2 linked regions of the Canis lupus familiaris genome follow. The protein of the gene in region 1 interacts with the protein of each later gene in a biochemical or structural test. Links are inferred from orthologs where the notes say so. Each region holds a gene or a part of one and is shown in the gene's direction. Other genes may lie near its edges.

Region 1 (3,777 bases):
GGGGTCTCCTGGGGAACCTGTGGAGCAGGCCCTTCCTCTGCTCGGCTTCTTGCCTGCACGAGAAATCAAAGCAGGGAAAGGAGTAGGAACTCCCTTCCCTGGCTTCCAGCCGGACACCTGCTTGGGGCTTGGGCCAACCTGGTCCTTTCCGTCCTCAGCCAATCTACGCCCACCTCTGCCCCTCGTCCTAACTACAGGGAGCTGAACAGGTCGTCCAGGCAGTTTCTTACATACAGAGTCTGAAAGGGTCTGCCTTGGCATGTGCCAAGCTCCATACATTCACTGGTGCAGGGACACTGCTCCAGCCACAAACCCCACACCAAATCAGCAGGGACAGCTCCATCACCCAAATGTGGCCCCTCTTAGCCTGGGAGCTCCTCTGGCTGCCTCGCCCTGCCTGGCTCTGCCCGCAGCCGCCCTGCACACTGTGCATGCACACGGACTCGGGGTCTGTCGTATCAGCCCTGGCGTTTGGGTCACAAGCCCCATTCCTCACCTTCGTCTCCCTGCCTTCTCCCTCTCAGCCTGGTTCAACAGCCCAGCCTGGTGCCGCTGGTCCCGCTGACTCCCCGGCTCCACATTCTCCTTCAGCCTCCTGGAGCCCAAGGCAAGGGGAAGGAAGGTTGCACCCCAGTGTGTTACCGGGCATCTGGTGCTTGGTGCCTTGTGTTCAAGGTCCCGCGGTCTTGTACAGGTAAAATGAGGCATATAAACACTGGATTTAGGATATAGACTCTTGTAGGAAAGGGAGTTTCAAAGGAATGTTTCCCAAAAACATTAAACCAGTGAGAGAATTCCTGTTGTGGTGGACCCGGGCCACACCAAGGCAGAAACTGGTATTCATCAAAACATTCACAATCTTTGTAGATTGGAATCATAGTCCAGAGAGATAGAAGTGGAGAAGCCAAGCAATGGATGCCATATTCCCAAATAATTGGTTTCAGCTACAAACATTCTGCTGGTGAGGAGAACGAGTTCCTATGTGATACCTGAGCTCCTTTGGGAGAGTGATCTTCCCTGTCCTAGAGCACTAACGTCTAACACTCCTTGGCTCCCTTGGGGTTACTCAAAGGAAAGGACATTCAAAAAGGTTTCCTCTGAACATAGAAACTCTGAACAAATTCTGTTGAGAAAGGTGCAGGGACAGTTGAGGTGGTTGAGAATAATCTGAAAGTTGCCTGTTGTGGGAGGCAAGAATAGGAGCTGGGCTGACCTGAATGGTCTCCGTCAGGGAGGGACCACACCCAAATCCCGTAATCCAATCAAGCAATTAGAGTGGATTAGAGGACTTTGTGCCTTATCCCAGGGCCCAAAAGCCATAAAGGTGGAGGTGAGGTTCACTATCTGACATTTGGAAACTGGCATCAGTGAGAGGAGCATCCCTTTGCGACCCTGAAGCTCCTGGTTGAATGTATCTTGTGGACACTGTTTCTGCAGACATGGAGGCTGCCCACCTCCACCCCTCAGAGGAGCCTCAGTTCAGCGCCTCTCCCAAACCCCAGTCATACTGGTCAAGGAGAGGCGGTGCTGAAGTCCACGGAGGACCCTCTGTGCCCGAGAGGACATCTCCTGCATCAAAGACGCTCTCCTCCCCGACTGACCCGTTGGCTCCCGCATCAGCAGGGCTGCCTCCCACCAAGACGCCTCTGAGTTGGAAGAGCCTTTCCCAGGTGGGAGCCGGGCTTCAGAACATGGGCAACACTTGCTATGTGAATGCGACCCTACAGTGTCTGACCTACACAGAGCCCCTCGCCAGCTACATGCTGTCCCAGCAGCACGGGACCACCTGTAGGAGGCAGACATCCTGCATGCTGTGTACCCTGCAGGCTCACCTGATGTGGGTTCTCTGCCATCCTGGACGTGTGCTCCGGCCCCTGCCACTCCTGCTCGCCGCCTTCCACAGACACAAGCAGGAAGATGCCCATGAGTATCTCATGTTCATTCTGGATGCAATGCAGCAAGCATGCTTGCCTGAGGACAAGCTCTCAGACCCTGAGTGTCCTCAGGACAGCACCCTCATCCAGCAACTCTTTGGGGGGTACTGGAGGTCTCAAATCCAGTGTCTCCACTGCCAAGGCATTTCGAGCACTCTGGAACCTTACCTGGACATCAGCCTGGACATCGGGGATGCTCACAGCGTCAGCCAAGCTTTGGAGCAGTTGGTGAAGCCCGAACTGCTGGAAGGTGAAAATGCCTACCATTGTAGTAAGTGTCTGGAGAAGGTGCCTGCGTCCAAGGTGTTGACTTTGCACACTTCCCCGAAGGTCCTCATCCTGGTCTTGAGACGATTCTCAGACTTGACAGGCAACAAAATGACTAAGGAGGTGCAATATCCTGAGCGCCTTGACATGCAACACTACCTGTCTGAGCAGAGGGCAGGACCCTTGGTTTATGTGCTCTATGCCGTGCTGGTGCACGCTGGGAGGAGTTGCCACAGCGGACATTACTTCTGTTTCGTAAAGGCAGGAAATGGCCAGTGGTATAAAATGGATGATGCTAAGGTCAGCGCCTGTGATGTGACTTGCGCGCTGCGCCAACCTGCCTATGTCCTCTTTTATATGCAGAAGACTGATCTGGAGAGAGACCTTGGGAGGGAGTCAGTCGAAGAGGGAGGACTCGCATCTCCCGAGGCAGACCCCACAGTGGTGGGTGAGGCCTCAGGAGAGCCGGCAACGGATCCCTCCGTGAACCTTCCTGAGTTGGAGGAGCGTGGGGAAGAGACCTCAAGGCAACAAATGACATTAGACCAGTGGAGATGCCTCCAAGAATGCAACCGCCCTAAGCCTGAACTTAATGTCAGGAGAAGAGAAATTGCTCTTCCTGCGAACGCAGTCATCCTTCACCACTCCAAATACAGACCTGAGATGCCGAAGAATCATCCTCAGCAGACCGTCGACCTGCTCACCACTGCGGCTGGGATGCTCCCACCTCAGGTGGCCGGGGACGTGGCCAAAGTCCCGCGTGTGCCAGGGAGAGCCCGACCTACCAAGAGGACGAGCAAGAAGGGACAGAGTTCTGGGGAAGCAGTCCAGGGATGTGTCTCCTAACTTTGGTGCACATGGGCGCACACACCCACACACACAGCGTCACTCACACACTCCAAACCCGAACACAGACCCATACTGGAAATATTTTGTGTTGTGTGAAGTGTGTGTTCTGTATGTATGGAAGAACCATCTATCTGGTGTGTTCATGGGATATGGCCTTCAACTGAAACTAGGAGACACTGATATTTAAACCTGGGTCTTTGTCATGATCTTATATTGGGATAGTGTGGATTTCATATGGGGTCAATCCAGGAACCTGCCTCTCCTTCAGCCTTGTGGAGAGTGGGGGCCACTTGCAGGTGAGAGGCAGTGAGCAGTCAGGGTTGAGAGTGGATATGATGCTGAGGACCTGGGGTTGAAGTCAGTATGTTTGACCCTCTCGTCATGGTCCCCACTTCCCAATGCTTTTCTTCTATTTATATTGAAAGAATTTTGTCTGAACACATAAGTATGTATTGGGTCTTGCTAGCGATGTGTCTTGGTCAATGCTTGGAAATTGTAGGAAGGAAATTAAGTGCTTACTTTTGGGGCAATAACTGCATCCAGACCTGATTGAACCACAGTGATTTTATTATGTTCCCTTCACTCTCTCCCACATTAAGACTGAAGAGAAGCAAACTAACAAGGACTCTTATTCCAAAGGGAAATGCCCAGCCTCCCACTGAACATAACTTTTTATGACTATTTTGCTACCATCTGCTCTGTGGCACCTCCTGACCCAGAAGCAGTG
Region 2 (4,399 bases), on another chromosome or scaffold:
TAATTTTATAAGGGCGAAATTTTGATTTACTCTGACATTGGGCAACATGGTTTAATTCAAAAAGTCAAAAAATTTATTGAGGTTAATATTTCCAATTCAAACAGTATTTCGCTGGATTTCAGTTCTTCTAGAGATCTGAAATAAATAAATGTTTTAACTTTGCTTTAAGATGTTTAAAAGGGTTTCAAGTATTCTACAGATACAGACTTTAGAGAACACTGGATTCTTAAAAAAACAAAAAAAAAAAAACAAAAACAGCTTTTTTGGGGGGAGGATTTACTCCTTTGCAGGGTCTTGAGGGCTTTTTTTTTTGTCAAAAATCTCATTTTCACCTGCAATAATTGTATTCAGGTTTTCTCAGCAGGTAAAGTATACATTCTTACAAGGTTTCAAATTTCAGAATTCCAATAATGCATTTAAACTGAGCACCCACTGAATCACGTTCTCTTCTCTTTGTTTGGGGTGTGTGTGTGTGTGTGTATCCATTATCTTGCAGTTCTGATATTTATATTAAATTTTAGTCTTTTTAGCTCCCCAGAAACACCTTAGTGAACCCTTAGCAATTGCTAACCACTTAATAATTGTGAACCCGCGAGCCCCTTCAAGTACGTCGTTAACCACAGAGTGCCTGACAATTTCCAAATCCTATCCTCTGTCCAAAAGGAAAAGATAGGGCTTTGTGAGGCCGAAAGGAAGCGAAGGAAAACAAAACAAATGTAGCTCATGCTGAAAGTGAAAAGTGCTTGGACAGATTAGTATTTTCTTTTCTGCAAGGCGCCCTGCCAGACTTTTTTTTTTTTTTTTTTTTTAAATAGAGAAGAGTTATTTTTTTGGTCTGATTTTTCAGTTTCTTGGAAAGTGTTGGTCTTTCCCACCCCCACCGGCCCCTCATAATTATGGTTGGTTGTTTTGTGTTTTTCCCACCCGGCCACATCACAGCCTGCTGGTCCCCCCGCCTCACTCTGTCAAAACCCCAACTCCCGGCGACCCTGGGTTTGGAAACTCCGCGGACTCCCGACGACACGTCCCACTCTCCCTCTCACGCCTCGTATTTTAGTTGCAAGATCCCTCGCTCCAGTTGCAGCGAAAGCCGGAAATTTTCATTTAACTGCCCCCCCCCCCCGCCGCCCTCCCGCCCCCCACTCGGAGCCGAGCGTTGGGGAGTGGAGACCCGGAGCACAGCCGGGCTCGCCGCCTCCCCTCTCTCCGGAAGGCTTTAATTTGCACACTTGCTTGCCTCGGCGCAGCGAGCCCCTAGCCCCGTCGCCGCCTCCGGGTGGGTCTCGGGCAGAGTCGGCCTGGGGGGGGGGGGGGCGCCCCCGCCCCGGCTCGCCCCGAGCCCCGGCCCGCGCCCCGCAGCCCCCGGCCGCCCCCAGCGTGCGGCGCGGGCGGCGCCCTCCGCCGTGCCTCCGCCGTCCCTCCGCCCTCCGCCGCTGTGCCCACCCCTTCGCGGGAGAGAGCGCCGCTACCTCCTTCCTCCGAGCCGGTTACCTGCTCGGCGCGCGGTGGACACGTGCGGAGGTCGCACAGACACTCGCAGCCCTCCCCGGAGGCCCGACGCGGCCGGGCCCCTCAGGTGAGGAGCAGTGCGGTCGGGTGGGTGGGCTGCGGGGTGGGGGGTCCCCGGGGGAGATTCGGGAGCTTGGCCGGGGTCGGAAGCGGGGGTGTGGGTGGAGGTGACTGTGGTGGGGGGTGTACGTCTTCGGAATCGGCTGTAGTTAACCCCTTACGACCCGAGGCGGGCTAGGGATGGGGACCAGTCCTGGGGAGTTAGAGGACTCTCTCCTAATCTGGCGAGGGAAGGACATCCCATACCAGGGACACCCCCCAACACTAAGATCCGGTGCTGCTCCCACACAGCCGTGCGCGCAAACACCCACGCACTCATCAGGCTCCTTAAAGCGGAATATAAACTCCGCTCGGACCCTCAAAGAATAATCTACCCTTTAGAGTTTAAAATGCACTGCCTCGGGGGGGACTCCATGCGGGACACTGTGCTTCCGTGCCCCACGTTCATTTCCCCACCGGAGCTCACTCTCCAGCTCGCGGAGGTGTGGGTGTGGCCTCCACCTTCTCCACCACGAGATCAATGTTAACGCAGGCTTCTTGCTGGAACCCCCTCCCCTGCGGGGGTGTTATGCACACTTAGAGGAGTGCACGCAGGCGGCCAGTGCACGGGCTTGGAGCCCCACAAGGACGCACGTTGGCGTTTAGCTTCCCAGTTTACTTTTATTAATTTGCAGTATCCGAGTTAGAACGCACACCCCGCGGTGAGCAGCGCCGGGCCCCGCAGCGCGCCCCACAGTGTGCACGTGGGGCTCATCTGCGTGTGCGCACACGCGGGAGTCGTGGTCCCCGTGCGGCCTCTTGTCGCTGCGCTGGTGGCGACCCTTGCGGTGCTTGGCAGGCTTCGGGAGAGGCACATGAAGGATTTCATTGAGTGTGAAGACAGAGAGCAGAGACAGAAAGCAGAAGGAGGCGGCTGCAGCCTTTGTAGTCGCGGAGGAATGCGGAAATGTTGAAGCACTATGTCAAACTTTTTTGAAATGGGGTCAAGTCACATTCAGCCAGCGTGGGAAAGCAACAACAACAACAAAAAAAAGTGGAGGAGAGGGGGGGAAAAGGCACTGTTGCTCCCGTTTCTCTCCGCCGGAGCCGACGGTCCGGGGAGCGGGGGGGAGGGGGGAGCCTGGGCGGGCGGTGCGGGGCCGGGCGGGGGCAGCGGGCGCAGCTCCCTGCGGGGGTGGGACGTCCGCGGCGCTGCCGGAGCTGCTGAGCCTCCGGTCGGACTGCGGCGGGGAGGGGGATGCGGGAGGGGCGGGCGGGCGGCGCGGCCGGCGGCTCCGCGGCTACCTGTGTGGCCCTAGGCCTGGCTCGGACCCCCGCGCAGGCTCTTGGGGGGCTCAGTCCTTTCTCCCCCGGGACTCGCCTTTACCTTTTAAGGAGAGCTTTGAATGGAGTGTGAGGGGCCCTGCGCTCGCTGCGGTCCCCTCTGCCAGCACGCCGTGGGGATCGCGCCATTTGTTTAACTCCTGGCAGGAGGCGAGCGGCCGGCGGTGCGGGGCAGGTAATTCCGAGGTGTCCCGGGGATTCCAGACACGCGGCCGGCGTGGCGAATGTACCGCCGAGGCCGCGGCGGCCCTGGATTACGACTGAATGGGGAGGGGAAAGCGTGTCCCTACCCTGCCTCCCCACCCCCGCACTGTGTTGTGCGGAGGGCCCCGAGCGGGGTCGGGGGGTCGGGGGGCGCGTTTGGCCCCTGCCTGATGAGACCAGGCCTCGAGCGGAGGGAGGAATGGAGCAGCCACCTCTGCAACTTCAGATCCAGAAGATCTGGAGAAGTTCCAGGGAGTGGGGAAAGGTTCGGAGTCCCGGCGCCCAGGGCGCAGCCCCTTCTCTCTCACCCCCGAGGCTTGGCATTTACTCCTCCCACCCCCAACCTTTTTAAGAGGAGGTTGGGTTTTGATGAGGTTGAAATTAGTTGAGGATTTCAGGGCGAGTCGCGGTTACGCTACCTTCCTCCCGCAGTTACTCTCTCAGGAGATGACAAGCCAAAGTGCGACGAATAACCCGTCCTCCCACCCTTACGGTCCTTTGGGCGACTCCCCCCTCTGGGGCCCCACCGCTCCTCCACTCCCGAGTAGCGGGAGCCCCAGCCCTCCCCGACCTCATGGGTTTCCACCAGGGAGGTCCTCCGAGTCGGAGGAAGAATTTCGTTTCCAGTCCAGACTTCTTTACCCCAAAAAGACCATTTGTGTGTGCAAGTCGTTTTTAAATGTCTCCTCGCAGAAAAACTGAAAGTAGAAAGAAAGGAAGCAATTTCCCAGCAGATGTCTGACCACCCCTCCTCGCACACTCCCAGCATCGGGTTACAGGGTCCCGGGAGCCCCCACCCACATTCGGCAGCCCCACACGGGTGGACCCACAGCCCCTCCACAGCAGCTTGGGCACAACCCCCGAAAGCCCCACGGCACCCCGGAGCCCCTCTCCCTGCACGCCCAGGCCCGGGGGGGCGGGGTGGGTAGCAGTGCAACACAATGATGTAGGGATAAATATTAAGCCGTGACATTGACGTGCCCGGCACCTCCCCTCCCCCGCGCTCCCGGCACACTCTGGGCTGCTCGGCACGCCCCCTCCCGTTCCACTGCGTCCCGCGCCGCGCGCTCATCCCCGAGGGGCCCCTGCAACCTCTCTGCGCGAAGACGGCTCCAGCTCTGCAGGGAAAGAAAAGTAACTTCGCTTTTCTCGGAGGAACCAGGAAGGATTAAGCAGCCTGGGAGAGGGCAGGAGCGCGCCGAGGGTAGCGATGGGGGCTCTATGGAGTAGGAGGAGGGGAGTCTGCGGGAACTCGGAGGAAGGCGCCCGGGATGTCTGATTGCACTTTTTCTTGTCCTCCCGT

What was found.
Region 2: the proteins of ubiquitin carboxyl-terminal hydrolase 17-like protein 6 (region 1) and CDK6 form a complex in vitro, tested with the Homo sapiens proteins (3 studies listed by BioGRID, with this or other methods). The link is inferred for Canis lupus familiaris from reciprocal best matches to the Homo sapiens genes USP17L2 and CDK6.

Annotation. Positions count from the first base shown.
Region 1 is NW_023330959.1:17,515-21,291, reverse strand, and holds ubiquitin carboxyl-terminal hydrolase 17-like protein 6, read left to right. Parts: upstream 1-1,439; coding exon 1,440-3,047; downstream 3,048-3,777. Other genes in the region: ral guanine nucleotide dissociation stimulator-like, read right to left, coding at 1-53, 321-433. UniProt on the Homo sapiens protein: Deubiquitinating enzyme that removes conjugated ubiquitin from specific proteins to regulate different cellular processes.
Region 2 is NC_049235.1:18,374,685-18,379,083, reverse strand, and holds the start of CDK6 (cyclin-dependent kinase 6), read left to right. Parts: upstream 1-1,424; 5' UTR 1,425-1,576; intron 1,577-2,209; exon of another isoform or gene 2,210-2,536; intron 2,537-2,816; exon of another isoform or gene 2,817-3,025; coding exon of another isoform or gene 3,026-3,152; exon of another isoform or gene 3,153-3,515; coding exon of another isoform or gene 3,516-4,168; exon of another isoform or gene 4,169-4,399. Other genes in the region: uncharacterized protein LOC102152579, read right to left, coding at 3,026-3,152, 3,516-4,168. UniProt on the Homo sapiens protein: Serine/threonine-protein kinase involved in the control of the cell cycle and differentiation; promotes G1/S transition. Phosphorylates pRB/RB1 and NPM1.